Sus scrofa: one gene and its partners. Each later gene encodes a partner of the first gene's protein in a complex. Links are inferred from orthologs where the notes say so. Each region holds a gene or a part of one and is shown in the gene's direction. Other genes may lie near its edges.

Evidence for each region.
Region 2: the proteins of RHOA (region 1) and TRPV4 are in contact, whole or in part, in a cryo-EM structure (PDB 9IQX), measured with the Homo sapiens proteins. The link is inferred for Sus scrofa from reciprocal best matches to the Homo sapiens genes RHOA and TRPV4. Residues at the interface, in NP_001300870.1 of Homo sapiens: Met1, Ala2, Ala3, Arg5, Tyr34, Pro36, Val38, Phe39, Glu40, Asn41, Tyr42, Val43, Glu54, Trp58, Glu64, Asp65, Arg68, Leu69, Leu72, Pro75, Asp76; in NP_067638.3 of Homo sapiens: Lys177, Arg179, Thr181, Glu183, Glu184, Arg186, Pro188, Arg224, Glu225, Asn228, Ser229, Pro230, Arg232, Arg237, Asp263, His265, Ala266, Gln267, Arg269, Asp313, Arg315, Arg316.
Region 3: the proteins of RHOA (region 1) and ARHGEF2 are in contact, whole or in part, in a crystal structure (PDB 7G9I), measured with the Homo sapiens proteins. The link is inferred for Sus scrofa from reciprocal best matches to the Homo sapiens genes RHOA and ARHGEF2. Residues at the interface, in NP_001300870.1 of Homo sapiens: Arg5, Lys7, Lys27, Gln29, Val33, Tyr34, Val35, Pro36, Thr37, Val38, Phe39, Glu40, Asn41, Tyr42, Val43, Asp45, Glu54, Trp58, Asp59, Ala61, Gly62, Gln63, Tyr66, Asp67, Arg68, Leu69, Leu72, Ser73, Pro75, Asp76; in NP_001155855.1 of Homo sapiens: Asp215, Ser216, Ser218, Leu219, Asp238, Val239, Glu242, Thr246, His249, Cys342, His345, Ser346, Leu349, Lys353, Lys376, Arg377, Gln381, Glu382, Leu385, Leu386, Thr388, Gln389, Ile391, Thr392, Lys393, Leu396, Leu397, Arg400, Lys423, Leu426.
Region 4: the proteins of RHOA (region 1) and PKN1 are in contact, whole or in part, in a crystal structure (PDB 1CXZ), measured with the Homo sapiens proteins. The link is inferred for Sus scrofa from reciprocal best matches to the Homo sapiens genes RHOA and PKN1. Residues at the interface, in NP_001300870.1 of Homo sapiens: Met1, Ala2, Phe25, Ser26, Lys27, Asp28, Gln29, Val43, Asp45, Ile46, Glu47, Gln52, Glu54, Thr163, Lys164, Arg168, Glu169; in NP_002732.3 of Homo sapiens: Glu40, Arg43, Arg44, Ile46, Arg47, Leu50, Lys51, Lys53, Glu54, Glu57, Asn58, Arg60, Arg61, Leu77, Arg78, Ser81, Leu84, Asp85, His88.
Region 5: the proteins of RHOA (region 1) and ANLN are in contact, whole or in part, in a crystal structure (PDB 4XOI), measured with the Homo sapiens proteins. The link is inferred for Sus scrofa from reciprocal best matches to the Homo sapiens genes RHOA and ANLN. Residues at the interface, in NP_001300870.1 of Homo sapiens: Tyr34, Val35, Pro36, Thr37, Val38, Phe39, Glu40, Asn41, Trp58, Asp65, Tyr66, Arg68, Leu69, Pro71, Leu72, Pro75, Asp76; in NP_061155.2 of Homo sapiens: Met729, Thr732, Val733, Tyr735, Gln736, Ala737, Gln739, Ala740, Cys743, Cys744, Glu748, His749, Gly750, Ser753, Glu755, Glu758, Ala759, Leu762.
Region 6: the proteins of RHOA (region 1) and ARHGEF11 are in contact, whole or in part, in a crystal structure (PDB 1XCG), measured with the Homo sapiens proteins. The link is inferred for Sus scrofa from reciprocal best matches to the Homo sapiens genes RHOA and ARHGEF11. Residues at the interface, in NP_001300870.1 of Homo sapiens: Arg5, Thr19, Val33, Tyr34, Pro36, Thr37, Val38, Glu40, Asn41, Val43, Asp45, Glu54, Ala56, Trp58, Asp59, Ala61, Gly62, Gln63, Tyr66, Asp67, Arg68, Leu69, Arg70, Leu72, Ser73, Pro75, Asp76, Pro96, Glu97, Pro101; in NP_055599.1 of Homo sapiens: Asn715, Gln717, His718, Glu737, Val738, Glu741, Thr745, Ser748, Ser837, Lys844, Arg867, Arg868, Leu869, Gln870, Arg872, Asp873, Ile876, Met879, Gln880, Arg881, Thr883, Lys884, Leu887, Leu888, Ser891, Arg914, Leu917, Lys918, Val920, Asn921.
Region 7: the proteins of RHOA (region 1) and ROCK1 are in contact, whole or in part, in a crystal structure (PDB 1S1C), measured with the Homo sapiens proteins. The link is inferred for Sus scrofa from reciprocal best matches to the Homo sapiens genes RHOA and ROCK1. Residues at the interface, in NP_001300870.1 of Homo sapiens: Val38, Phe39, Asp65, Tyr66, Arg68, Leu69, Leu72, Pro75; in NP_005397.1 of Homo sapiens: Lys999, Val1003, Asn1004, Leu1006, Ala1007, Met1010, Asn1011, Arg1012.

What each region holds. Positions count from the first base shown.
Region 1 is NC_010455.5:31,928,448-31,932,524, reverse strand, and holds part of RHOA (transforming protein RhoA), read left to right. Parts: intron 1-430; exon of another isoform or gene 431-446; intron 447-3,022; 5' UTR 3,023-3,024; coding exon 3,025-3,180; intron 3,181-4,077. UniProt on the Homo sapiens protein: Small GTPase which cycles between an active GTP-bound and an inactive GDP-bound state.
Region 2 is NC_010456.5:41,156,454-41,160,530, forward strand, and holds part of TRPV4 (transient receptor potential cation channel subfamily V member 4), read left to right. Parts: intron 1-985; coding exon 986-1,144; intron 1,145-1,370; coding exon 1,371-1,463; intron 1,464-1,592; coding exon 1,593-1,666; intron 1,667-2,373; coding exon 2,374-2,539; intron 2,540-2,757; coding exon 2,758-2,824; intron 2,825-4,077. UniProt on the Homo sapiens protein: Non-selective calcium permeant cation channel involved in osmotic sensitivity and mechanosensitivity. Activation by exposure to hypotonicity within the physiological range exhibits an outward rectification.
Region 3 is NC_010446.5:94,032,683-94,036,759, forward strand, and holds part of ARHGEF2 (rho guanine nucleotide exchange factor 2), read left to right. Parts: intron 1-1,353; 5' UTR 1,354-1,374; coding exon 1,375-1,649; intron 1,650-2,501; exon of another isoform or gene 2,502-2,632; coding exon of another isoform or gene 2,633-2,638; intron 2,639-3,250; coding exon 3,251-3,368; intron 3,369-4,077. UniProt on the Homo sapiens protein: Activates Rho-GTPases by promoting the exchange of GDP for GTP.
Region 4 is NC_010444.4:64,814,532-64,818,608, reverse strand, and holds part of PKN1 (serine/threonine-protein kinase N1), read left to right. Parts: intron 1-346; coding exon 347-498; intron 499-1,696; coding exon 1,697-1,832; intron 1,833-4,077. UniProt on the Homo sapiens protein: PKC-related serine/threonine-protein kinase involved in various processes such as regulation of the intermediate filaments of the actin cytoskeleton, cell migration, tumor cell invasion and transcription regulation.
Region 5 is NC_010460.4:37,672,800-37,676,876, reverse strand, and holds part of ANLN (anillin), read left to right. Parts: intron 1-50; coding exon 51-186; intron 187-1,058; coding exon 1,059-1,241; intron 1,242-2,768; coding exon 2,769-2,895; intron 2,896-4,077. UniProt on the Homo sapiens protein: Required for cytokinesis. Essential for the structural integrity of the cleavage furrow and for completion of cleavage furrow ingression. Plays a role in bleb assembly during metaphase and anaphase of mitosis.
Region 6 is NC_010446.5:93,132,327-93,136,403, forward strand, and holds part of ARHGEF11 (rho guanine nucleotide exchange factor 11), read left to right. Parts: intron 1-434; coding exon 435-477; intron 478-1,636; coding exon 1,637-1,733; intron 1,734-1,957; coding exon 1,958-2,080; intron 2,081-4,077. UniProt on the Homo sapiens protein: May play a role in the regulation of RhoA GTPase by guanine nucleotide-binding alpha-12 (GNA12) and alpha-13 (GNA13). Acts as guanine nucleotide exchange factor (GEF) for RhoA GTPase and may act as GTPase-activating protein (GAP) for GNA12 and GNA13.
Region 7 is NC_010448.4:106,203,276-106,207,352, reverse strand, and holds part of ROCK1 (rho-associated protein kinase 1), read left to right. Parts: intron 1-693; coding exon 694-800; intron 801-2,234; coding exon 2,235-2,385; intron 2,386-4,077. UniProt on the Homo sapiens protein: Protein kinase which is a key regulator of the actin cytoskeleton and cell polarity.

The sequences.
Region 1 (4,077 bases):
GATGGATCTCTTTGTGGATATACTATTTACATTATATTGTGATTAAATGTTTTATTCACAATAGCTAAAAGGTAAAAGCAATCCAAGTATCTCTCAGATGAATGAATGAATCAGATGGTGGTATATACATGCAATGAAATATTATTGTCTTAAAAAGAAAGGAAATTGACACATGCTAAGTGAAGAAACCTCAAAGACACTATGCTGAGTGAAACATTAAAACAGTTAATTTTACTCTGGGTTTTGTTTTGTTTTTTTAATTTTGTCTTTTTGTCTTTTCTACAGCCGTACCCTGGGCATGTGGAGGTTCCTAGGCTAGGGGTCCAGTCACAGCTGCATCCACTGGCCTATGCCACAGCTGTGGCAACTCGGGATCCAAGCCACGTTTGTGACCTACACCACAGCTCATGGCAACACTGGATCCTTAACCTACTGAGTGAGGCCAGGTATTGAACCCGCAACCTCATGTTTCCTAGTCAGATTCGTTAACCACTGAGCCACGACAAGAACTCCTACTGTTTTTTTAAATTTAAGAACATTCAGCAGTTTTAGCTCCTATGTTTGGGAGTGTAGTCCATCTTGAGCTAGTTTTCATCTGATGTGAGCTCTAATTTCCTTTCTTTGCATGTATCTATTCAGTTGTCAGTTGTCTGAGCACCATTTGTTAAAAACGCTGTTTCTTCCTCCATTGAATTGTCTTGGCATCCTTGTTGAAAATCACTTGACCCTGAATGCAAGGGCTTATTTCTAAACTCTTCAGTTCTACTCAATTGATCTGTGTGTTTTGTTTGTTTGTCTTTTCTAGGGCCGCACCCGCGGCATATGGAAGTTCCCAGGCTAGGGGTCTAATCTAGCGGGATCCAAGCTGCGTCTCTGACGGCAACGCCGGATCCTTAACCCACTGAGCAAGACCAGGGATTGAACTGAAATCTTCATGGTTCCTAGTTGGGCTCATTAACCACTGCTCCACGATGGGAACTCCAATCTATGTGTTTTTTGTTTCGTTTTGTTTTGGGGGAGAGTGTCTCTTTAGGGCCACACTGCAGCATATGGAAATTCTCAGGTTAGAGATCAAAGCAGAGCTACAGCTGCCGGCCTATGCCACAGCCATAGAAATGCAGGATTCGAGCCACATCTGCAACCTGCACAGCAACTCATGGCAACACAGGATCCTAACCCACTAAGCAAGGCCAGGGATTGAACCTGCATGCTCATGGATACTAGTTGGGTTCATTTCCTCTGCGCCACAGCGGCAGCTCATATCTTTTTTTTTATTATTATTATTATTAAAATATAGTTGATTTACAGTGTTGTGCCAGTTTCTGCTGTATATCTGTCTGTCTTTACAACAGTGCAACACTTTCTTGATTACTGTAGCTTTAGAGTAAGTTCTAAGATCAGGAATTGTGAGTCCTGCAACTTTGCTCTTATTCAAGATGGTTTTGGCCATTCTGAGTCCATTGAATTTCCATTCTCTCTTTTTTTTTTTTTTTTTTTTTTTTGGCTGTTCCCCCAGCATGCAGAAGTTCCTGGACCAGGAATCGAACCCAAACCACAGCAGTGACAATGCCATATCCTTAACCTGCTAAGCCACCAGGGAACTCCCTCCATGCATATTTTCTGATCACTTGTCAGTGTCTGCAAAGAAGCTAGCTGGGATTTTGATAGTGATTGTGTTAAATCTGTAGATTAATTTGTAGGATATTCCCATTTAACAGTATTTAAGTTTTCAGAGTATGTTTTGTACTTCTTGTGCTTAGTTTATTCTTATTTTATTCTTTTTGATGTTATTGTAAATAAAATCTTAATTTCATTCTCAATTTGTTCATTGCTAGGGTATAGAAATACAATTGATTTGTTTTGTTTTGTTTTGTTTTTTTAGAGCTGCATTAGTGGCATATGGAGGTTCCCAATCAGAGCTGTAGCCACCGGCCTATACCAGTGCCACAGCAGCGTGGGATCCTAGCCATCTCTGCAAACTGCATCACAGCTCAGGGCAATGCTGGATCCTTAACCCACTGAACAAGGCTAGGGATCAAACCCGCATCCTCCTGGATACTAGTCGGGTTCGTTAACTGCTGAGCCACAATAGGAACTCCGCTTTTTGTGTGATGACTTTGTATCCTGCAACCTTGCTGAATTTATTAGTTCCGATAGTTTTTTAGTGGATCCTTTAGGATTTCCCATGTATAATATCATGTCACCTGCAAATTAAGATAATTTTACTTCTTCTTTTCTGATCTGAATGTCTTTTATTTCATTTTCTTGCCTAATTGCCAGAACTTTTAATATTATGTTGGATGGAAGTGTCAAGAGTGGACATTCTTGGAGTTCCCGTCATGGCTCATTGGTTAACAATCCAACAAGGAACCATGAGGTTGCAGGTTCAGTCCCTGGCCTTGCTCGGTGGGTTAAGGATCTGGCGTTGCTGTGGGCTGTGGTGTAAGTCCCAGGCGTGGTTTGGCTCCTGCGTTGCTGTGGCTCTGGCTGGCGCCTACAGCTCCGATTTGACCCCTAGCCTGGAACCTCCATATGCCATGGGTACAGCCTTAGAAAAGGCAAGAAAAAAAAAGAGTGGACATTCTTGTCTTGTTCCTCATCTTGCAGGACAATTTTTAGTCTTTTCACCATTAAGTATAATGTTAGTTATAGGTTTTTGATATGACTTACTGGTCCTAAGTGGAAAGGTATACTGGTGTTTTATTTTCTTTTTTTTCCCCCCTTTTTCGGCCACCCCGTGTCATATGGAGTTCTCAGGCAATCCAAGCTGGAGTTGGAGTCTACGCCACAGCTGTGGCAACACCATGTCCTTAACCCGTTGCACCAGGCTGGGAATCAAACCTGAGCCCATGAGCAGTAGAGACACTGTCAATCCCATTGAGCCACAGCAGGAACTCCAGCATTTTGTATTTTGATGTGTTAATAAAGGCTTGTGCCACATGGCCAGAAAAGTATTTGTCATGGCCTGAGACTATTATGGCTTCTTGTGCATTCTAGACAACACTTTGATTTTATGTTTCAGCAATGGCTGCCATCAGGAAGAAACTGGTGATTGTTGGTGATGGAGCCTGTGGCAAGACTTGTTTGCTCATTGTCTTTAGCAAGGACCAATTCCCGGAGGTATATGTACCTACCGTGTTTGAAAACTATGTTGCAGATATCGAGGTGGATGGAAAGCAGGTGAGTATACTTTGCATAACAATTGGTACTGTTTTGCATGTTAGGCTATTCATACAGCCTGTAGAGAATTAGGCCTCTTGGGGGGGGGGGCAAGTTGATCCACTTTTAATAATGGAGTCAGAAGAAAAATCTGGTTTTTCCCCCCAAATCCCACTCCCCCCCCCAATTATTTGGGTTAACACATTTCAGAATTTTAAGTAAACAGTTGTTGCAGCTGGGTGAAGGTAGCCCTGTGTCCATCCACCAGGAAGCGCTGTCATTATCTGCACTGCCATCCAGCTCTCAAGGGGGCTATCAGACTCCAGCAGCCTGGGTCTGCTCTGTAACTATTTCAGAGCTCCAATTTGCTCCAGGCGGGTCAAGAGCTCCCCTCTCTAGTGCATACTTACTGGATCAGTGCATGCATCCACCTATACACGCTTTACCAATAAAGACCCAAGGTACTGTTCTGGCTCCCTTGAGCTGTTGGAGATGATCTTGAATCTCGTTGGTGTCACTGGTAGCTGTGATATCGACAAATTCCAGAAGCCCTTCTTTGAAGGGCAATTGGCTGAGGAGCTCCTGGGTCTTTCTGCAGAAGGGACAGGTGGGCTTGATGAGAACTACCGCCATATTCATATGTATTTCACATTGGGAAGCCTTAGAATATGTGTTCTTTCCAGCCTTATTCATATTTGAAATTTAGTGTATTGCCAAATGGATAATACTAAAATGAACATCCTTGTATGGATGGACTTTTTTCCCCCATCATAGTATTTCATTAAATGCTGAAGTATGAGATTACTAGGTCTGTGGGTCCTTATTGATTATGCTTCTCAAAGGGTTATACTCATTTATACCAGCATCCTCACATTTCGTTTTTTAAGTTTTTGGGGTTTTGTTTTTTGTTTTTTGTTT
Region 2 (4,077 bases), on another chromosome or scaffold:
AAATCAAGTTGTTAAAGGGACAGGACACTGTACAAATGGAGCAGAAAGTGCTGGGGCCTGGGTGCAAAAGGTTTCACTTCCAGCCCCGGCTCTGTGAGGGTGGACAGATGCCTTCCCTTGCTGGATCTTACTTCCTTCATCTTTGAAATTAGTGACCAACTTGATTTACCTTAGAGATGATGGGAGGTTTGGCATCTCTGCTGCAAACTCTGATTGATTGGTAGTGTCTGCCCAGGGAGCTATCCAGAGGATTATTGTGCAGGACTCAATTACTGATGTCTGCCCTGGGTTCAGAATTGAAAAATTGTAGTGGGTCACATATTTATCATCTTTAGGCTAAATGTCCCAACCCCACTTCCTGAATTATAATTTCTTTTTATTTTTTATTAATGATTTTTATTTTTTCCATTTTAGTTGGTTTACAGTGTTCTGTCAATTCTTACTGTACAGCAAAGTGACACACACACACATATATACATTCTTTTTCTCACATTATCCTCCATCATGTTCCATCACAAGTGACTAGATATAGTTCCCCATGCTGTAAAGCAGGATTTCATGGCTTATCCACTCCAAATTCAGTAGTTTGCATCTATTAACCCCAGACTCCCAGTCCATCCCTCTCCCTCCCCTGAATCAGAATTTCTGAGGTCAGAGCCCAGGGACTTATATTTTTAACAAGCTGCATAGCTGATTTTGCTGCCAGCAGCTCAGCTCCGTCCACAGATTGGAGTTTGGGGAAACCACAAGAAGAGATTTCTTTTAGGCGCTTTCGAGCCCTGAGTCCTATGACTCTAGAAGAGTCTGGAAAGGCAAGTTGGGGCGGAATTGGGCAGAGCCTCAAAGGCCCAGAAGTTTGAGTATCACTGAAGAATGGTTAGGAGGAAGAATGCTCTCAGAGCAGACGGTGGGGAAGGCATGCTGGACTCAGACTGTTTGGCCCCGAACCAGCCTGACTGGCCCCCGACCACCCCGCCTCCCACAGAACCGCCACGAGATGCTGGCCGTGGAACCCATCAATGAACTGCTGCGGGACAAGTGGCGCAAGTTCGGGGCAGTTTCCTTCTACATCAATGTGGTCTCCTATCTGTGTGCCATGGTCATCTTTACCCTCACCGCTTACTACCAGCCTCTGGAGGGCACGGTGAGTGACCATGCACCAGGCAGGAGCTGGGGTGTAGCTGGGTCCCCTGTGGGAGGGACTGGAGAGGGCTTAGGAACAGGATGGTGGGTGCTCTGTACATCCAGGGGAAGAGAATGAGGGAAGAGGTGCCATAGGACCCAGATGGTTGGGGTCTTGGGGAACATCTGGACCTGGGGCCAGGTGTTAGAAGGGCTGGGTGAGGACTCGCACGCCCCCTGTCCCCCAGCCACCATACCCTTACCACACCACGGTGGACTACCTGAGGCTGGCCGGTGAGATCATCACACTCTTCACTGGGGTCCTGTTCTTTTTCACCAACGTGAGTGCTTGGCCCCCCACCCTACACACCTGCCCGCCCCCCTCCTTCTCTTCCTCCACCTCTTTTAGCTCCTCTCTCCTCCCCTTGGCACTCCTGCTGGCTCCATCTCTCTCATGCCCCCGCCTCCAGATCAAAGACTTGTTCATGAAGAAATGCCCTGGAGTGAATTCTCTCTTCATTGATGGCTCCTTCCAGTTACTCTAGTGAGTAGAGGTCCCCAGACTGGTGGCTTCTGGGTGAGGAAGGTGGGCTTGGGCAGGGACACTGCTCAGGTTTGGTGGTGGTGGGAGTGGCTCTGCTGGAGTGAATTCACCCAGCCTGAACATCTGCAGCCCAAAGTCAAGACAAGGTCACTATCAAGCAAAAGGATCTACTGGGTAAAGCAAGATTCTGGTTGCTAGAGAGTTATCACCATGCACACCACAGATAAAAATAATCTAACCTCCTTTGCTTGTGATTCATTGCTAATGTCTGCCAGGAGTGCCCATGTTAAGAATCTTGAGGCTGTGTCTGTGTTTAATGGGAGCGAGTGCTGGGATTGATTAATGATGTCTGCCTAGGGCACAGGATGAGTTGCTGCATGTGTGTTATATCTTTTCCCGTATCCTTAGAGAACAATGAAATTCCCTTAGCCACAAAATCTCCACTGAATCCCACTGAATCTTTCTCTAGCAATTCTGAATCACATCACTTTGGGATCTGGGAGGGCCTCAGGGCCATTACACACACATCAGCTGCCAATTAATTGGGTGTTCTGGTTAACAGAATGCTGGAGAACCCGGTGAATCCATGTGGTTTCTCTGCTGCGGGTCATCGGGATGTCCTGGTACCTAGAGGGCTCAAGGGCATGCCTCCCCCTCCAGGACCTCATTGTCCCCTTTCCCCTCTGGCGGTCTCCACTGCCCTGTAGCTTCATCTACTCTGTGCTGGTGATTGTCTCCGCGGGCCTCTACCTGGCGGGGATTGAGGCCTACCTGGCCGTCATGGTCTTTGCCTTGGTCCTGGGCTGGATGAATGCCCTGTACTTCACCCGTGGGCTGAAGCTGACAGGGACCTATAGCATCATGATCCAGAAGGTAAGGAGCAGGGCACCCACTGGACACACATATGCAGACAGTGCCAGGGCCCTGAGGACATGGGGGCACCGTGGTGGCCGCAGGCAGGGCCTGGACATCGGCGGGGTGTGGGTAGGGGGAACAAAGTGGATCTGGAGGGAAGACTTGAGATGAGGAGTGGGGCAAGTGAGAAACCACATGTCTCATCTTTGCCTCCGTATCCCCGCCGGGGCCTTTAGATCCTCTTCAAAGATCTTTTCCGTTTCCTGCTGGTCTACTTGCTCTTCATGATCGGCTACGCTTCAGGTGAGCTCTGGGTGCCTGGGTGAGCCTGGCAGGGGCGGTACCAGGGCTGGATCAGCCACCATAAAGCGTGTGTTTGTAGACTCCTCACTGGGTGCCCGTCCCTGCTTCATTCAATTCCCCCAGTAAGTCTGTAAGGTAAGTGTCTTTATTACCACCTTTTACAGATAAGGAAACTGAGCTTTAGGAAGGTTAAATGTGAATTCCTGCTGTGGTGCAACAGGACTGGTGTTGCCAGGTTGCAGGTTTGATCCCCTGCATGGCACAGAGGGTTAAAGGATCTGGCATTGCTGCAGCTGCAGTGTAGGTTGCAATGGCGGCTTAGATCTGACCGCTGGTTCAGGAACTCCATAGGCCACAGGGCAGCCAAAAATGAAAAGAAAAAGAAAGGTTAAATAACTTGTCCAAATGCAAAAGCATGGATGTGATAAAACTGGCATATTAGCTATGGTTGCAAAAGGAGCACCCAAAACTTAGTGGCTTAAAACAACCATTTATCATTACTCTCAAAGCTGTGGGTCAGCTGGGTGCTTGTGGTCACCCGGGCCAGATTTGGCTAATCTTTTTTTGGAGGGGCTGTTCCTGCAGCATGCAGAAGTTCCCAGGCCAGGGATCAAACTGAGCCACAGCAATGGCAATGCTAGATCCTTAACCATTAGCCTACCAGGGAACTCCATATTTGGCTAATCCTGATGGGCTCCCGTGTCTGTGCTCCGCTGGCAGGTTGGCTACCAGCTGACTAGTGTAGCTAGGGTGGCCTCTGTTGGGTTGACTTTACTATCTTCCCCAGGGTCACTCATTTCCAGCCAGCTAGCTGGAACTTGGTCAGTGGTGGTCTGAGGTTCCCAGAATGTGAGCAGAAGTGTTCAAGGTCTCTGCCTGGCCCGGCATCGCTTCTGGCTCACCCTCTTGGCCAAAGCAAGTTTCAAGGCCCGCCTTGATTCAAAGCATGGGGAAATAGACTCTATCCTCTTGGTGGAAGGAGCTACAAAGCCACATTGAAGGGGTGTGGATATGAGGGAGGGCACATTTTAATCATTAATCGAGCAGCCTGGGCTGCTCAGCACTGGCTCCTTCCTTGATGTCACGATGCCTTGGGACCTTAGTGACACAGGTCATTGGGGAAAGATTAGGGATGGGGAAATTAATCAAGGGGTTGGGCTGGCCTGGTGATCTGCCATCCAGTGACCAGTATCCAAAAGGGAGTGGCCAACCCAGGCTTCACCAGGCTGCAGTCACATCTGAGGAGGTTGGTC
Region 3 (4,077 bases), on another chromosome or scaffold:
GAGGTAGGCTGTAGATGTGCATTGCCTTCCTGCCCCTCCACCACTTTGGTACTCTGGTATTTGGTACTTGTTTCTGGAGTGGAGATTATCATTTTCAACTTTTAAGAGCTCCTGAGAGTTTTGACTCAGACACACTGAGGCAAGCCCTGATGGCAGCCAAGAGTATCGAGCAGTGAGAACCATGCCCACTGGGAGAGAGAGAAGGAATTTCAATGTGGCTGATGTTGGAGGCCTTCTCTTTGCTCCATGGGGAGAGGTCAGAATGACTCTCTGACTTCCCAGATGACCGGAGTCTTAGAAGGAAGAAATCATAATACTTTCTCAGTCAGGCACCTTTTCTTCCTGGTGCTTTATCTGCCTAGACTCCTCCCCTTCCAGCGTGGCCAAGTCCTAACCACTCCACCCTTCCAGGCCCACCTCAAAGGCTATTTACTTCCTCCTGTTTCCTTTTTTTTTGAATTCTCCAACTGGTTATATGCACCATTCTTTTAGGAGCACAAAGCCTTTTTTTTCTTCTTTTTCTTTTTTGGCTGCACTCATGGCATGCAGAAGTTCCCAGTCCAGGGATCGAACCTGCGCCACAGCAGCCACCTGAGCTGCACAACGCTGGATCCTTAACCTGCTGAGCCACAAGACAACTCCTATGAAGGATTTTTTTGAAATCTCTTGTGGCTTTTGGCAAACTCTGACCAGTCGTTTGTGATTTGTGTTTTTATCTATGTGCACACACGCACATGTGCACACACACTCACTTGAATGAATTCCTTGAGCGTAAGAACAATATCAGTTTCTCTTTGCTTGGCTTTTTTTCTGCCATGTAGGTGCCCTTAACTGGAATAATAATGAGTGAATGAGGATGTCATTATGTACTGGAAAGAACACTAGACTGGGAGTCAGAAAACCCAAGTTTTGGGAGCTCTGGTTGTGGCTCAGCAGAAACAAATCCGACTAGTATCCATGAAGATGTGGATTCGATCCCTGGCCTTGCTCAGTGGGTTAAGGATCTGGTGTTGCCATGAGCTGTGGTGTAGGTAGCAGATGTGGCTCAGAACTGGCGTGGCTGTTGCTGTGGTGTAGGCCAGCAGCTACAGCTCGGATTTGGCCCTTAGCCTGGAAACCTCGATATGCCGCAGGTGCGGGCCTGAAAAAAAAAAAAAAAAACTTCTAGACTTGGCTCTGCAGCTGATTCCTGGTGCGATCTTGAGCCAGCCATCCTCCAGTTCTGCGCCTCAGTGACTAGATCTAGGGAGAGGTGACTAGATTATCTCAGCCTGGCTGACTGTGACACTTTTCTGGTTCCAAGTTTCCAGAATTCTAGAACTCTGCTCACCCTTCTCTGTCTTCTTGATTCAGACTGGACTGTGTGTACCTCCCATGAACAGAGACGTCCCAGAAGTGTTCCTCGCAGGTGGAGACCTAGTGCCCCAAGGCCACACTCGCCGTTGCCTGTCTGTGGTAGAGTCCAGAGAGCAGCTGGAGGAAGAGGAAGAGGAAGAGGAGGCAGAGGAGGAAAAAAAGAAGGAGGGAGATGGTTTCCATGACGTACCCCTCCGAAGGTCGGGGGCTTTCCGTGCCCACAGCCACAACTACGACCCCTTCAAAAGACATAGTTGGGGACCAGGCAGGGAGCTCCAGGATTCACTGAGCAGGTAAACCACTGGAGGACCTCCTGTCCCTCCTTCCCTCAAGTCCTTGACCTAGGAGAAAGGGTTGGAAAGCACAATAGGAGTTGAAGTGACTTGGGCCCCTAGTCTCTCCCCTGGAGAATCTGAACCCAGGCCTGTTGTGGGCCTCCCTGGTCCATCCAGGGAGGATGGACCCTGCCTTTCAAAATATGGCCTTCAGACTTCCCATTGTGGTGCAGCAGAAGTGGATCCGACTAGTATCCATGAGGTTGTAGGTTCGATCCCTGGCCTTGCTCAGTGGGTTAAGGATTCGGCGTTGCCGTGAGCTGTGGTGTAAGTCGCAGACATGGCTCGGAGCTGGTGTCTCTGTGGCTGTGGTGTAGGCTGGCAGCTGTAGCTCCGATTGGACCCCTGGCCTGGGAACCTCCATATGCCACAGGTACAGCCCACCCCCCAAAAAATAAGCAAAATGTGGCCCTCCCTAGTGGTCCTAGCTCCTCCTTTCTACCTGGTCTCAAAGGAAGGTGTGTGAAAATGGAGCAGGAGAGGTGTGGCGCCTTTCCACATATAGTAGTGTTAGAGCTGAAAGGGGCTTGGAGATCGTATGGCACAATCTCCTCATTTCACACATGAGGAAACAGCCCCAGCGAACTTTGGGAGGTTTCTTGAAAGAGTTGGAGTGTTGAACCTGGCACTTTCCCAAATTTCTGCCTGCCTGCGGGTCCATGATGTTTGGACATCATAGAATGGCCCTGCAATGGTGGAAGAGCTGCTCTTGTGCAGGGGTTTGCATGTGCTTGGCAGACCAGAAGAGAGGGACCCAGCTCTTCCCCTCTCCTGGAAAATCCCTGGCTGACCACTTCCCCAAAGACAGAGGAAGTCAGAAAGAGAAGGTCCGGGGCTCAGTGTGAAGAGTTCAGTGTGAGTGGTCGCTGAGAGGGCCTGCTAGCCGTGGAAGGGCCCTGTCTCTCTGCTTTGGCAATGGTCCCCTTGGACAAGTTGTCTTAATGCTGGTGAGTAGACCAAGCTTTTCTAGCTCCTGGGCAGGGCTGGCTGGGCTGTGTGATGGGAGAGGATTCTTGTCCCTGAAGTGGCTTAGGTGGGAACCTGGGTGAGAAGCCTTTGTCCGCAGGACTCACCACACCTTCCTAAGAGCAGCTGGTCAAAGGCAGAGATGCCCTGAGTACCCCTTACACAGTGCCGGCTGTATCTCAGCATCTTCCAGGTGTCATCTTTCACTAGAGGCCCTAATTATACCCTTTTAGGTAAAGAAGGAACGGAACCCTGGGGACACTATTTGTCTGAGTAGGGGCCAAGATTGGCATCAGAAACTAGGCAAGGAGTGGGAATCCAGCTTGCCCTTGCCCACCCCACAATGCTGGCTTTCTTCTGACGGCAGTACTATCTTTTGACCAGCAGGGGCCACCCTTGCCTACAGTCAGCATCACAGCTTTGCCAAAGCCCAGTCCCAGAAGGGAGGCCAGTTTGGGTCTAGGCTGTGCCTGAGCCAACAGGAAGGGCTGGGCTGGGGGCAAGCAGCAGGGCTGGGCTGAGGCGGTGTTCCTCCCTGGTGCCCGTCACAGGCCGCTGGATTCAGAGGCCAGTGATGGCAATGTGCGTTTCAGGAACAAACCTCAGGCATCGGGATGCGAAGGCCCCCAGAAGGACCCCTTACAGTGGAGCCAAGAGGAACTGGACCCCTTTTTGGAACTGCAGCACCGAGGAGGCCAACCCTCCTGTGTGGTACGGACAGACAACTCCCCATGGAAGCTACCACCTTCCTCCCCTTCCCCTGATCCTTTGCCTATCCAGCCACCACTCTGTGCCTCTTCTGTTCTCCCAGCTGTTGGGTCTCTCTGTCCCCAGGCATCTCTCTGACTCCATCTGACCAAATCTGGATCTGGTGTCTGTACCCCTCTGTCTGCTTCCCCGGGTCTGTATGCTCTGTCCTCTACTCTTGGTATCCTGCCTCTGTCGTGCTGTGAGACTCTCTGTTCCATCCTTTCTGTGTCTGTGTCTCTGTGTCGATGTGGGTATCTCTGTTCCTCTCTCATTAAAAGGCCCCTGTTCCCCTATTTGTTACAACTGGTTCTTTCAGTGGACCCCCCATTTCTCAGATTTGGAGATGAACTTATTATTCGTAGGATGAAACTGGGCACCTGGTACCCTGAAACGCAATCATCCTCTAACAAGATAATCATAAGATTATCGACTGAGAAAGGATATAAAGATTGCTCAGCCTGAGTTCAGTCAGCCCTCCATGTGCACAGGTTCTGCATCCTCAGATTCAACCAACCAAGGATAGAAAATATTTGGAAAAAAAAAACAACAACAAAAAACAGAAAGTTCCAAAAAGCAAAACTTGAATTTGCCACATGCTGTAAACTATTTACTTTGCATTAACATTGTGTTTACAATTATTTACATGGCATTTACATTGCATAAGTATAAT
Region 4 (4,077 bases), on another chromosome or scaffold:
ATATGCTCAGTTATGCCAACACCCTTCGGGTCACAGACATAAGCATAGCCACACCCATGGACAGCCACACAGCCATGTACATAGTTGGGGGCTTCTGTACAAAGGTATGTATAGTCACACCAACACCAGGCACTCATGCACCCCTGGACACTTGCCCATGCTCATTCATGCTGGTCCTATCCCAGCGCTGAGAGGGTTTCCTGTGACCGATGGTGTGGTTGGGTCCCCTGGCCCCCAGTTCTTTCTCCTCCCGGCCCTCCCGGGTGGGTTCTCTCAGCTGGGGCAAAGCTTCCTGGGCAGATGGAGGTGAGGGCCATGGTGACTCTGTCCCACCCACCCCCTCCAGATGCCCCCCAGTCCCCCGGTGCAGGTGGCCCAACCTGCTCAGCCACCAACCTGAGCCTCGTGGCTGGCTTGGAGAAGCAGCTGGCCATCGAGCTGAAGGTGAAGCAGGGGGCGGAAAACATGATCCAGACGTACAGCAACGGCAGCACCAAGGTGGGGGCAGCACGAGTGAACACACCCCTGTGTGCACATACGCCTGGAGCACATCACACAGTGAGGGGGTTTGGGGGGGTACCTACATGTCCCCCATGGGAGGTTTGGGCCCTCTGGGTTGGGAACAGAGGGACTGATGAATGACTGAGTGGCAGAACTGGGGTGCAGGCAGCTCATGGTGGTATGTGGGAAACAGAGTGACTGGGTGATGTCAGACAGACACACAGCAGTTAGCCCTGGAGACCCAGCAGCCTCTGTGGACAGGGCAACATGCAGCCTCTCACTGCTACTGGCATCTCTCTGACATGTGCACGTGCAGGTCAACACCTGGAGTCACACACACCATTATAACATCTAGAGACACAGCAGTAACAACACTTGGACACATGGAGGATGACTACCACAGGGCTCTCTGGACACGTAGAGACATACCATCATAATAACCCCAGGACACACAGTACAGGCCAACAGACGTCTAGACACACAGACACGCACACCATTAAATTCACACCCAGAGAGCAGAGTTGTCACACAGTCATTCCCCCCAGCTATACCAACACCAAGAACACAGTCACAGGTCTGCACCCACACCCAGAGATACACCCACAAGCACAGCCAGACCTATAGCTAGAGACCCGGGAGAGCACCCATACCTGTGTGCACACACAAAGGTGAATATTACGTGGGAGGGCACAGACCATGCCAGATTTTTTTTTTTTTAAACCTTTTATTGAGGTGTAACAAAGGGATGTGTAGTATATTTTTTTTCTTTTTTGGCCACCCCAAGGCATATGGAGTTCCCTGGTCAGGGAACTTGGACCCACCTACGTGACTCCTGTCAGGGCTACACCCACCACGGGGAACACTGAGCCACACGTATGCCTTTCTGACAGCTGACACAAATACAGTGCCTGCTGGTGCCAGGCACAGCACTGAGCCCTACATACAGATTAGCTCCTTTAATCCTCAGCCGAGTGGTGGTTGCAATCCAATTAGCAATCCCAGTCCTGTAGATGACGAAACAGGCCCAGAGAGGTTGAGTGGCTTGCCCAAAGTCACACAGATAGCAGTCTTAGGTAGCAGAGCCAGGATTCAAATGCCATGGGTTACTCAGGGCCTGCACTGGTGTGGACAGAAGAGCTGCTGGTCAGTCTCCCATCTGGCCAGCCTTCCTCTCACGGCCCATCTCTGCCTCTAGGACCGGAAGCTGCTGCTGACGGCCCAACAGATGCTGCAGGACAGTAAGACCAAGATTGACATCATCCGCATGCAGCTCCGCCGGGCACTGCAGGCCTGCCAGCTGGAGAGCCAGGCGGCCCCGGATGAGGCCCAAGGTGAGTCCGTTGCCCTGATACAGCTTAGCCTGCATCCTATCTTGTAGAGTTCTGCTCCCAGTCACATAGGGGGTTCCTTTCTGGGGCAGGGAGGTGAGTGCTCTGACTCATCATGTGACTGGAACCCATTCTTGACCCTCTCTGGGCCTCAGTTTCTCATTTTGTCCCACTCAAAGTTTCCACTTGATCAAGTGTTAGCAAACCAAAGCTCTTGGGCCAGATCTGCTACTGCCTTTTTGTAAATAAAGTTTTATTGGCACCCAGCCACACCCATTCATTTACTGTCACCTAAGGCTGCTTTGGCATTGACAGCAGAGCCAAGTAGTGGCAACAAAGACTATGTGGTCTGCAAAGCCAAAAATATTTACCCTGTGACTCTTACGGAAAAGATGGGCAGACCGCTGGACTAGGTGGTTGCCTTGTCATGTTGGCCCCTGTGGTGTCCTCAGTGTGTGTGTTTCTGTGAGTGTTTCAGTGTATGAATCTCTCGGGGTGGGAGGGGTCTCAACCTGATTGTCAGCCTGAATTTGTGACGGAGTCTTGATGTATGCATGGGCTACTGATGTGTGTCAGTATTAATGTGATATTAGCCATGGGGACCAGGGGTTGTATGGATGCTCTGTAACTATGATAATTTGCCTGTCACCATGAGAAATAGAGAAGTGTCAACTGTTGGTGAGTGATAGTGCATTTGGGCTGCTATAATATACCACAGTACCACAGATAGGGGAGGGGGCTTTTAAACAACAGACATTTATTTCTCACAGTTCTGAGGGCTGGGAAGTCCAAGATCAAGGCGCTGGCAGATCCAGTGTCTGGTGAGAGCCCTCTCCCACATTCACAGACAGATGCCTTCTTACTGTGTCTTCACTTTGGAAAGGGCCGGGGAGCTCTCTGGGGCCCTTTTTATAAGGACACTGATCCCATTTATGCAGGCAAAGTCCCCATGACCTAGTCATCTCCCAAGGGCACCAAGGTCACCACCTCCAAAGACATCACACTGGAGGTTGGGTTTCAACATATGAAGTTTGCAGGGAAACATGCAGTCCATAGCAGTTGGACCTGTAACACGGATGACAATGTATGTGTCTTTGTAGTGCGGAGGTGTGTGTGGTTGTTTGTATGAACTCTGAATGCCTACGTGAATTTCTCAGTGTCAGTGTGCGATGGTATGATCATGTCCCTGTGCCTCTGGGTGACACTGTAACCTTTGGTGGCAGCTTGCTTTTGTCCCTGCAAGTATAAAAGTCTTGGTAACTGGGCACATGTGACAGCAGTCCTGGTGAGTGCCACACACCTGTGGGTGACTGTGACTCTCTGAGTGCCAGAGTCTGAGTCTGGGTCATTATGCAGGACAATGAGACTGTCCTTGGAATCTACAGCCGTGGATAAGGGTGACTTTGACCTCATGTCCCTAGGTGACAGGTTTCCCATACCTGTGTGACAGTGTCTATCCCTGTGCCATTGGATAACTGTGGCTGTGTCCCCAGGACTTTGCCCTGAATATGGTAGCCAGCCTGTTTCCCTGTGACTGGGTCTCTGTTTCTATGAGTATTGCTGATGCTACCTTGCCTGTGTGACAATGTGGCAGCATTTCTTTACCTGTCCCTATGCCTGATCCACATGGCAGTGTGGTTGTGTTCCTGTGATTCTCCTTGGGTTGAAATTAGAACCCTGGGAGTTTTGCCACCATGTGACTGTGTCCTATGAGGGTGTTTATGTTTTGTGACTGTTTTTCTCTGCCCTTGTGACCGTGTCCCTTTGCTTGAGGTTGACAAGGCACATATCTATGTAATATCAGCCTCAATCCTGTGACAGTGTCCCTGTGTAGCAGCGTGATAGCATCTTTGTGAGAGTGTGTGTTCATCTGCCTGTGGGTATGTGTAACAGTGCCTACACTGGTGAGAAAGTGATAATGCCAGTGTCACCCTGTGAGTGACAGCATAACAATGTCTGTGTGATGTTGTCCCTGTTCCCCTAATTGCATTATATTTCATGATGTGGGTAGTTACCATTCACTTATCCAGACCCCTACTGGAGGAAATGGGGTTGTTTCTAGTCTTTTGGTCTTGAAGGCTTTGAATAACCATGAACATATGTCAAGTGCAGAGGTGTTTCTATGGGATACAATCCCTGAACTGGGATTGCTGAATCAAGGGGTAAGTACATTAGTGTTTCTGATAGAAATGGCCAAACTGCCGCCATCAGAAAGCAACTTGTATTCCCATCAGCAATGAATAAAAGT
Region 5 (4,077 bases), on another chromosome or scaffold:
GAAAATGGTGGTTTAAAATGTGAGCTTTTTTCTCTTATTGGTTTCACTAGGAACTCAATAATGAAATAAATTTGCAACAGACAGTGATCTATCAAGCTAGCCAGGCTCTTAACTGTTGTGTTGATGAAGAGCATGGAAAAGGTTCTTTAGAAGAAGCTGAAGCAGAAAGACTTCTTCTAATTGCAAGTATGTATATTGATAAACAGTTTCAAAGCAGGAAAATCTCATTTTATCTAATAGGTTCAGGAATTTCTAATTTTAGAGAAAGGGCTTTTTTGATAATGTTTCAGCTGACCTATTTTTTGTTTGTAATAAAGTTTGTGAAAATACCGCATGTAAAATAACATATAGTTTGTATGAAAGGGGGAAAGAACCTGGAATGCATTTTTTAAGAAATGTAGTTGCAGGAGTTCCCGTCGTAGCTCAGTGGTTAATGAATCCGACTAGGAACCATGAGGTTGCGGGTTCGATCAGTGGGTTAAGGGCCCGGCGTTGCCGTGAGCTGTGGTGTAGGTCGCAGACTGGGCTCGGATCCTGCGTTGCTGTGGCTCTGGCGTAGGCCGGTGGCTACAGCTCTGATTAGACCCCTAGCCTGGGAACCTCCATATGCCACAGGTGCAGCCCTAGAAAAGACCAAAAAAAAAAAAAAAAAAGTAGTTGCAAAGAGTATGTTAAGAGTGAATATACGAATATATTTATACATCTCCCCCACTCTATCCCTGTACCTATATATATATGTATAGCTAAAAAAAGTTAGGTGAATTTTCTTGTATACATATGTGTGTGGTGATGAAAGACAGGGTATGTTAGGATGGAGAGATTAACACCTCAACTTTTGGTCAGTTTTCCTGTGTAGTTAAATTTTAAGGATTTGGTGAACAGATAAGCAATGAGGATTTTTCCTAACTACCTACCACCTGTTTGTCTGAAGGAAGTTACTGATTTCCTCTTTGGTCTTAGATACAATTGCCATATCAGTGCATTGCCTTGAATTGGCTTCATTTAGAAACAATTGCAGTTTTAATATTTGAAATGTTAACTTGCATATTTCTTCATAGCTGAGAAGAGAACACTTTTGATTGATGAGTTGAATAAATTGAAGAATGAAGGGCCTCAGAGGAAGAATAAGGCTAGTCCCACATCCCAAAGTGAATTTGTCCCTTCTAAAGGATCAATTACTTTGTCAGAAATCCGCTTGCCTCTAAAAGCAGATTTTGTCTGCAGTACAATTCAGAAACCAGGTATGGTGATTTTTATTTATTCACTTCTAGATCATATGTCGGATTACAAATCTCATCTAGATTAGAATTGTATAAATGGGAACAAGTAGAGCATAAAGATACAAGGTTTGTATCTTGGGCCTTTAGTTCCTTTTATGAAGATATGTGTATAGGGAGTTCCCATCGTGGCTCAGCGGAAACAAACCTGACTAGCATCCATGAGGACACAGGTTCGATCCCTGACCTGGCTCAATGGGTTACGAATCCGGCATTGCCATGAGCTGTGGTGTAGGTCGCAGATGTGGCTCAGATCCTGTGTTGCTGTGGCTGTGATGTATGCCGGCAGCCGCAGCTCTAATTTGACCCCTAGCCTGCCTGGGAACTTCCATATGTTGCAGGTTTGGCCCTAAAAAGACAAAAAAAAAAAAAAAAAAGTATAAAAATAACCAAGGAAGAATTTCATATATCGCCTTACTGATCCCTCAGCAACAGACATGGCTCTAATTGAAAGTAAGCCTAAGTTAAATATAATATTGCATAATTAAATTATGAACATATTATAAATTAATTATATGAACATAAGATAAATTACTAAGATGAGTTATTCTGACACAGCAGACCATTTGACTGCATTAATTTTATAGTGGAAAGTATTGGGCATCTAAAACTTGTTTTATTTACTCTATTTAATTTAAAATTCACTTCATTAAAGAAATTTGTTCTGTGAATCCCGAATTACTGTTTGTGGGAGTGAAGAGCAACATAATGTAGATAATTTTCTATTGAAATTTTATTCCCTTTGTCGCTCTAGATTGAAAAAGCAAACTTTTCTAAACTGTGTACTCTTCTTAAAATCACATTTAAGCATTTAAAGTGAGTTAAGGAAGTTATGGCACCAGGATCTGAAAACAGGGCAGGATAATTATAGCAGGCTTAATAAAATTAAATCTTGGATAATTTTTTTAAAGATGGCTTCACATTTTTGCCTGGAACATTCTCTCTGAGGGAGTAGAGGGCTAGATGAGAATCTGAGGTACAGGGAAAGTAAAGACTGGAGATCTTTAATGTTTGAACATTTGTTGCAGAAATGAGGTAATTTAAATTCTAATTCTAGCTGTTGTCTGATTTTGGTGGGGTATAGGGAGAAATCTATTGGTAATTTCATGTATACCTTGAGATACGTGGCTATTTAATAACAGATAGTGAAGAAATAATTTATTTTAATCTCAGTTTGGAAATAGCAAGTCATAATTTACCCTTTTGAGATATATACTATTAGCTAAAGAATTGGGGTCAATAGGTAAAAGTAGAAGTCAGCAGAAACTGAGGGATGCAGAGTAATTTCATTTCACATAATAGGAAGGGACCTTGGATGATGCTATTCCAGGAATATGACTTTCTGTTTTTATGTCTTATCTTTTTGTGTCCATTAAGATGGCTTTAAAAATTTTTATGTGGTGTTAATTTATTCATTTGGTCTTCCAGAATGCTGATTATCTCAACCTGATTTTGCTTATGCTTATTATGTAATGTGATTATTTCTTGCAGATGCTGCAAATTATTATTTCTTAATTATACTAAAAGCAGGAGCTGAAAACATGGTAGCCACACCATTAGCAAGTACTTCAAATTCTCTTAATGGGGATGCTCTAACATTCAGTACTACATTTACTCTGTAAGTAACTTAGGCTTTTGATGGTTCAAACACATTTTTTTTTTTTTTTTTTTTTTTTTTTTTGTCTTTTTAGGGCCACACTTATGGCATATGAAGGTTCCCAGGCTAGGAGTCCAATCGGAGCTGCCTACACCACAGCCCGTGGCAACGCCTGATCCTTAACCCACTGAGTGAGGTCAGGGATCAAACCCGAGTCCTCATGGATGCTAGTCGGGTTCATTAACCACTGAGCCACAACAGGAACTCCGGTTCAAACATATTTTTCTTTGAATAGAATTACTATAGCATACAGATAGCATTTTTAATATCTTTGACATGTAGTATGTTTTATATGGACAAATAACTCATTTTTCAATTTGTTAGTTTAACTCTTTTTACGTTTCCAGTCTTCCATTGAGTAGCATGTTTCTTCCATGTGACTGTAGGTATTTGATGTTTTAAGTGTTTTAACATATGTATTTACTATACACACAGAAAAAATCTGGACCAGTTTTTAATACATGCTTTAAATCTCAACGTATTTAATACTCAGTCTCAGTGAAAAATTTATATTTAGTGTCATAGATAAAATAAATCTGAAAATAAATCCAGTATGAAAAAAAATTACTTTTCTTACTGATGATCTTGATTTGTAAGGTACTGAAGAAAATATTTGACATGGGAGTTCCAGTCGTGGCTCAGTGGTTAACGAATCTGACTAGGAATGATGAGGATGTGGGTTCAATCTCTGGCCTCCCTCAGTGGGTTAAGGATCCGGCATTGCTGTGAGCTGTGATGTAGTTCACAGACGCGGCTCGGATCCTGCATTGCTGTGGCTGTGGCGTAGGCTGGTGGCTACAGCTCCGATTAGACCCCTAGCCTGGGAACCTCCATATGCTGCGAGTGTGGCTCTAGAAAAGAACAGCAACAACAAAAATTTGACATGTATTACAGGGAAACAGACTGTTCTTACCAGTTTTTATTTTCATTCATTAACTATTGTCAGAGTTCCTGTTGTAGCTCAGTGGAAACGAACCCAACTGGGATCCATGGGGAATCAGGTTCAATCCCTGGTCCCATTCAGTGGGTTAAGGATCTGTGTTGTGAACTGTGGTGGAGGTTGCAGACGCAGCTCAGATCTGGTGTTGCTGTGGCTGTGGCGTAGGCCGGCAGCTGCAGTTCTCATTCGACCCCTAGCCTGGG
Region 6 (4,077 bases), on another chromosome or scaffold:
TCTCGTAAAGCCAAAGCCAGGCCGTGCGCACTCACTGGAAGATGCAGTAGCAGAAGGCCCGTGTTCCCTGGGGGGTGAAGGAGAAGGGGAGCCCATCGACTCACCTCGTAAGACTCCTCCCCTGCTGCTAAATTGTCCCCCCCTCCACTTTTTGGAACCTTTCCATTCAGTACAGCCTGAGATCCTTGAAATAAGAGCAGGAAAACTGCAGGTACCACCCTCAGAATATACAGTCCCAGCTTGCCTCGTAGCCTCCGATGCCAGTTCTCAGAATCCCTAGCTAGAGTTCAGTGGAGATGGGTGAGCGGAGGTGGGGTCGTGTAGGGAAAGGGGGAGGAGAGGTAGTGCCCAGAGCCCTCCTTGCCCCCGCACGATTCCCACCATGCCCTGGGGTGTGTGGACCTCACCACTCTGCCCCCTCTTCTGTTTTTCAGCCTCTGAGAGTGAAGGTCCCGGAGATGTTACAGGCTGAGATTGGTAAGTTGGCTCCTTGGTCATCTAGTCTCTTCTTCAGAGGTGGCTTCAGGGATGGAAGGGACATAGTCTCTACCTTGGGCAGCTGTTCTCTAATAGGGGATATGGGGACCTTTCCTCCAGAGCTCCTCAAAGTAGCTCATGGACAAGCACAACCACTGGGAGCTACTCTGCCTGATCAAGCCTGTCACGGCAGGGCACGAGTTGGTCAGGAGACCAGGGTCACTTCTGCCAACCTTGCACCTGACCTCTGTGGGCCTGGGTTGGGTCATCTGTACAAAGAGGAAATTGGATTCCTAAGCCTGGTCATCATCAGGATCCCTTGGGGGCTTCTGTCTTAGAATTACCAAAACCAGGGCCTCCCCCACCCCACCCCACCCGCAGAGTCAGACTCTCTGGAGTGTTTCTGCTCTTGTGTTTTTGGTGGTGTGTGTTCCTAAACCTGTGCTGGGTGGGGAGCCAGTGAGCTAGGTGATTGCTCTGTTCCCTTCTCGTTGTCAAATCATGAGTGGAAGAGCCAAGGAAGGGTGCCAACCTGAGAGGCTAATCACAGGAGCTTTCTAGAGGGTCTTGGTTCAAAGCTGCCTTCAAAAAGAGGTCCTTTAAAGGCCTGGATGATAGGAAAGCTAATGGGCACAGACAGAGGGTAAAGAGAACTTGCTCCAAAGCAGAGCAGAGGGTGGCCAGCCACTCCCGGAGACGTAGCCTCAGCTGAGTGAAGCCAGGTGCAAGGACAGGAGAGACACCTTCCAGTTTCTGGTGGGAAGTTGGGTTTCCTGTGCAGTGCTTGCCTTTTGCAGCCTTGTGAGCTGACCCTGGGGCGGTGGAATGAGGATGAGCCTTGCAGAGGTGTGCATTTAATGTCAGAGGGCAGTGTCTGGACACAGGCAGAGAGGGGATTTAATAGTTCTCCACTCAATGGAGTGTGGAACATCCCGGAAACGATTTTGTCCTTGCCTTGGGACTTGGATGTCAGAATTCCAGTCCTGAATTCAGGAATGACCTGGTAGGTCCAGGCCTCCACTTCCCTTGGCTGACAGGAGGGCAGAAAGCCAGCCTCTGCCCCCGGTGCCACAGGCAGCTAAGAGGCTTTGAGATGCTCAGCAGATGTGACCTCCTTCTCCCGACATCCCTCCCCTTCCTGTCTGGGCTCCCACCACAGACCTGCGCCTGCGGAGCGGCGAGGATGTGCGCGCTGTTCTCTGCGAGGCTCAGGAGGCCGCCATGCCCGACATCCAGGAGCAGATCCAGGACTACAGGTGCCCGGTGCCCCCCGCCCCGCTCTCCCCTCTGCCTCCTCACCCTTGTTCTTGACCTGCGGGGTATGTGTCTCGTGTGTGTGTGTGTGTGTGTGTGTGTGTGTGTGTGTGTGTGTGTGTGTTTGTGTGTGGTGTGTGTGTTGGTGTGTGTGTATGGTGTGTGTGTCTGTGCACCTCTCTGTCAGACGTTGGTATACGTTTGTTTCTTTCGCTCTCTGGCTCAGAACAAAGCGCACGCTGGGGCTGGGCAGCCTGTATGGTGAAAACGACCTGCTGGACCTGGATGGGGACCCTCTCCGCGAGCGCCAGGTGGCGGAGAAGCAGCTGGCTGCCCTAGGAGACATTTTGTGAGTCTCCGGTTCCACTCCCACCCCTGAACATGCCCAACAGTTTGACACAGTTTGTGGGTCTATTTCCTAGTCCCTCCCCCTCTGCCACTTCTTGCCTGATCCTTCTTCCCCCGAAAGCTGGGGAGAATCCTGCCCTCCTGCTCCATTTCTCAGGCCGGGTCTGTGGGAGTTTCAAGGGAATTGTGGAGCCTGGAGCTTCTGAGGGCAGTTTGGTGGTTATAACAAACCTCGGGCCTCAGCATCGCAGTGAGCTTTCTGGCCCCTTCCTGCCGCTAAGATCGCATCTGACACTGAGTACAAGAGCCATGCAGTGATTCTCCAGGGGGTAAAGTTCCTTCAGGAGGCAGGCAGAACTGGCTTACAGGAATCAGACCGTTTTTAACTAATCATATCGGAAGACTAACCAAACTAAACTTACGAAGGAACTCCTGGCACAGCTGCTGTGAATGCCTCTTTCCAGCCCTATTTTCTAAAGTGTTTCAGGTGCCTGGGTTGACTTTGTGGGGACACTTCCAGGCTTAGAGGTAGATTTTCACCCCAGTACTGCTTCTCCACTCAGTAATTGTGTAACCTTGATCAAGCCATTGCATCCCCCTCGGTCTCATCTATAAAATGACAGATCTTGGGCTAGACAATCTCTGTAGCCTCTACTAATGCTGATACTTCAAGCCAGCAAGTTTTTATGGAGTCTCCGATGGTGCTAAGCACTGTTCTAGGCTCCTGGGATGCATTAGTAGAGAAACAATGTTTGTGGAGCTTGTGCTATTGTGGGAAGAAAAAGCAGTGTGTATTATGCAGGTAAATTGCAGAGTACATTAGAAAATGAGGGTTGGGGATCAGGGAACAGAGCAGGCCAAGGGGGCCCAGGAGCATCTGAGCCAGGGGATTGCACCTTCAAATAGCGCCTCATCCAGACGTTTACATGTAGGGGGCATGGGCATCCTCGGAAAGGGGGCATGGGCATCCTCGGAAACATCTTGGAGGAAGAGCATCCCAGGCAGAGGGAACAGCCAGGGCAGAGGAGCGACATGCTTGACATGTTTGAGTGCAGAAGTCAGAGGGGCGACAGGAGAGGCGGCCTCCCAGAAGCTGTGGACAGTTGTAAGTTTCTTTCCTCCCAGTGAATGAGGAACCGTTGGAGCCGGGAGCAACTTGAGAGTGGTGGGAGAGCAAAGGAGGGTTCCAGGCAGGGAGGTCAGTTACAGGAAGTCCCCCGGTAGGGCTGGCATGGGAGCATTGCCCCTGGGGCTGTGAAAGGAGTTCCAGGTATGTTTTGACAGGAGGGCCAACGGGAGGATTTCCTAACAATTGATGTATAGGATGTGAGAGAAAGAAAAACCAAGGAAAAGGAAAAAAACTCCACGTTTTTTACCTAAATGACTAAAAGGACGAAGCTGCCATCCGTTGAGTTAGGTACAGCTGTGTGAGAAGCGATCCTGTGGTAGAAAATCAGGGCCTCGGTTTCAGACGTGTCAAAATCTCAGATCTCTTTTAGACATCAAAGTGGAGAACCGAGTAGGCAGCTGCCAATAGGAATCTGGCATTTGATGAGAGGTCCCACGGAGAGGACATATTTCGTCTTTGAAAACAACCCTCCAACCTTCAGCTGAGCCCTGAATCTTTCTGGGCCTTAGTTTCCCTAGCGATCAGATGGCGCTGATCACCCCGATGACACCAGGGATGGAAGCAAAAAAGCTGCCAGAGCCTGTTCTGAGATTGTAGGCACCACAGAATTACATGGGATTGTTATTGACAGCATAGGCACCCTGCTTCTAATGGCTTGTATTTAAAAGAATGCAGCCTCCGTTTCATTAAATGGAGATGTAATGGATTATTTGGGTATAAATAGTATACATGTAAATAGCCCTTGGCCCATAGCGAGCACACAGATATTAATTGCTGTTCCCACTTACCTCTTTTAAATAGGTTCCCCTGAATCAGGTCCCAAGGTATTATCTCCGCTGTCTCACCGTCTTTCCTCTTGCCTCAGTGTC
Region 7 (4,077 bases), on another chromosome or scaffold:
GGTTGCTACATACATGGCATGAGCCTCAGGTGGGTTAAGACTAAGCTTTGTTAGAGCACTTGAATTCCTTAAAACTTAGTTTCTTTAACAATGGAGGTTGGCTTCATTCAGTTTAATGGTAATTAAACACTTTTTGGAATGTCTGGCACATAAAAAGCGCTTAAAAGAGTTTCCCTTGTGGCTCATGTAACGAACCCAACTAGTATCCAGTGAGGAAACGGGTTCAATCCCTGGCCTCACTCAGTGGGTTAAGGAACAGGGACAGTTGTGGTGTAGGTCACAGACACAGCTCTGATCCCATGTTGCTATGGCATAGGCAGGAAGCTGCAGCTTCAATTCGACCCCTGTAGCCTGAGAACTTCCGTATGCCACAGGTGCAGCCCTAAAAAGACAAAGAAACAACAACAACAAAAAAACCACAGCACTTAAATACTGGCCTTAATTAACATGGCAGAAAAGAGCACTCGGATATGATTTCTGGACCATTTGTAAAGTGAAGAATATGTACTAGATGGTCTCCAGCTAATTAATATCTTTATCACTGTATATTGTAATTATTGTTTATACTACCAAGAAAATACCTAATAAATTTCTATCAGGAGATTTAAAACTTTTTTATCTTAATTATCATGTTGGAAAAATAAAGATTTCCTTTAATGATTGTATGACTTGAACTTTCTTCTCACTTGGTAGCTCGAATTACATCTTTACAAGAGGAGGTGAAGCATCTCAAACATAATCTTGAAAGAGTGGAAGGAGAAAGAAAAGATGCTCAAGACATGCTTAATCATTCAGAAAAGGTAAATGATTTAACATACCAACTATGAGATCACATTTACTGGTCATCATATATTATAAGGTGGTTTTATGAAGAGCATTCACTCTTAATCTTTATATATTTGCATTTCTAAAAGTTTTTATGATTGGCTGGTATTTGGAGATCTACGTGAGTCTTATTTTGGTCTTTTTATTCTGTTATTTGTTTTTTCCCTTGAGGGGTATTAGATATCTGATACTATCTGATCATCACAGTTTGCTTTGGTTTGGAGGTGCCTCTTCATATAGAATTTTTTCCCCATATTTTTGTACATGGATAAGATGAAGATCCTGAACCTTGCTGGTTAGGAAGAAGGAAAATAAAAGATCGGTGTATAGTAGACCATGTGTACTTTTTCCATTTTGTTGTTAAGAGTTAGCAAAATAGGAGTTCCTGTTGTGGCGCAGTGGTTAATGAATCCAACTAGGAACCATGAGGTTGCGGGTTCGATCCCTGGCCTTGCTCAGTGGGTTAAGGACCCAGTGTTGCCATGAGCTGTGGTGTAGGTTGCAGACGCAGCTCAGATCCTGCATTGCTGTGGCTCTGGCATAGGCCGGTGGCTATGGCTCCAATTAGACCCCTAGCCTGGGAACCTCCATATGCTGCAGGAGTGGCCCTAGAAAAGGAAAAAAAAAAAAAAAAAGTTAGCAAAATAGTAGAGCATAAAGTAGTTGTCCTTTACGTTTAGAATTTTCTTAATTACAAATCCTTTGTTCCTTCCTTGCTAAGACAATGATTAAATAGATAACATGCAGATTTAGTATACCTCCCTGAAATGTTGTAGGTTTTGTAGATCCTCAGGTAAATGATCAAAAATCCCACCATTTAACTTATCCTTTGGACATGTTTTATGACATTCAGATTAGCTTTTTGATGTCTAAGTCTGGTATAAATATGGAAATGGGATGAAAAATGAGGAGTAGAAGCACCCAAACAGGAATGGAATATATTTTGACTTATTCTTTTATCGGAGCAAGGTAAATTTAAATATAGATGCAAATATAAATAGAGGTGATTTAATTTTTTTAAGGTAACAAAATGTTTAAATGAACTGAAGAAATGTCCTGTTCATTTCTGATCCTCGCAATAAAACCTCCTCAGCAAAACCCTGTCCTACCATGAGCCATGGCTAGTGATTCAGATGGAAAGAAGTGGAGGGGTAAAGAAAAGTGACATTTTGCTTTTAATTATATATGCTTATTGTGACTTTTAAAGTAAGACAGTATAAATAGCGTGAAATACACAAGAAAGAATAATGTAAAATTATGTGCTGAATAAAAATATTTAAGTAAATATGGTATCACATTTCAGGCCAATGTGATTTATATGTTATCTCTTATGAGATATTAATGAATGTAAGGTTTAATGATGTGCCTTTTGTACAGCATATCACATGACTCTCCTTCTCATTTTACAGGAAAAGAATAATTTAGAAATAGATTTAAACTATAAGCTTAAATCATTACAGCAACGGTTAGAACAAGAGGTAAATGAACATAAAGTAACCAAAGCTCGTTTAACTGACAAACATCAATCTATTGAAGAAGCAAAGTCTGTTGCAATGTGTGGTAAGTGTCAGTTTTAATATTTTCTACATGATTGGTTTTTAAATAATGCCAACCAAAAATTTATTCTGTTTAAAATTTCATTTTTATAGCAGTTCAAACTCTTAGAAATTGTAAACGTGGATCTGGGAAAAGGGTGCTTTCCTTTTATTCTTTTTTGAGATCTTTCATTTTTAAAAATCATAGTTTCCCTTACTCTACTAGTTCCCTTACTCTACTACTCTCTACTTCCTATAAAAGTCAGTGGATTCTCTTTTCTCATAGTTTTTCAGCCTGTTCCTTTATTTTCTTCAAGATCTAGTCTGGAATTCATTGTCTGTTAATTCACCTGTTTTCTTGCTTTGTACCCTCAACTCCCTCATTCCTTTGTATTTCTGCTGTATTATGCCTCTGAATACAACCCTAGATCAGACTAGCCAGCCACTTGCATCACTTCAAATAGTTCTTCAGATGGATGTTAGCCTAGTGTATTGTCTCCAGCCTCAGCTGAGCTGTCTTTTTTAATGTAAATCACTCATCATTTTCTTCTTCCAAACTTCTCTTTCTCTCCTTGCTTCCTATGGCATTTATCATTCGCTTTTAGGTGAACATTCTCCTGTTTTAAAAAATTGCGAAAGCAAAGATGTGAACTTCTCAGAAGCTAATTCTCTAACTTAGCCTGTCCTACCACATTGCCCATCTTCATTATCTTCCCTCTCATCTTAGAGGAGGGTGATTCTCTTCCTGTCCTCACTAAGAGGTTCTAGCTGTACTCGGATCCAGTCTCTTATCTGAACTTATTATTTCTTTTTCTTTTCTTACTTCTCAACCTTTTTTTCTCCTCTACTGAATCTTTAGTTGTTGTAAACATGCACAAGTGTCTCCCATCTTAAAAACAAAATAAGGCAAGCCTTATAGCAACCTGTGATCCTTACTGATTGCCACTCTTTTATTCCATCCTTTTATAACCAAATTCCTAAAAAGATGTCTTCCTTTCCTTCACTTCTACTCAATTTTTAACCTACTGTAACTTGGAAGTATCATCTGGCACCTTAAATTCAGTTTATTTAAAGGAAAACTTGTGATCTTATGTGTCTTATCTGTTCTTACCCCTGCTCTTACTGTCTTGGTTAATGGCTATTTAGGTTTCTGAGCTCAGGTTTGTAATCCAACAAATATGCTTTGCCTCTTAGCCACCCTATGACTATTTAAAAAAAAAACTAGATTGGAAAATGCATTTAAAATGCCTCTACATGGAAAGCTCAGTAAATGGAGATACTATCATGGTTATGGATAATGGTGGTGTTCAATATCCAGGAGCCCAAGCCAGAAATCTGGGAATTATTCAAGAAACTCCATTCTGATGGTTTCTATTTTGTCACCTAGAGGACAGTCTGAAAGTGAGGAAGCAGATTTATTAAGTTTGAATCCTGATGATGCAACTTAGGAGTTGCAAGATCCTAGAAAATTAACCTCCAGGGATTTCCCTTCGTTGCTCAGTGGAAACGACCGACTAGCATCCATGAGGCAGGTTGGATCCCTGGCCTGCCTCAGTGGGTTAAGAATCCAGCATTGGCTGTGACTGCGGTGTAGGCCGGTGGTTACAGCTCCGATTGGACCCCTAGCCTGGGAACCTCCATATGCCTCGGGTGTGGCCCTTAAAAAAAAAAAAGAGAGAGAGAGAGAGAGAGAAAGAAAAGAAAATTAACCTCTAGA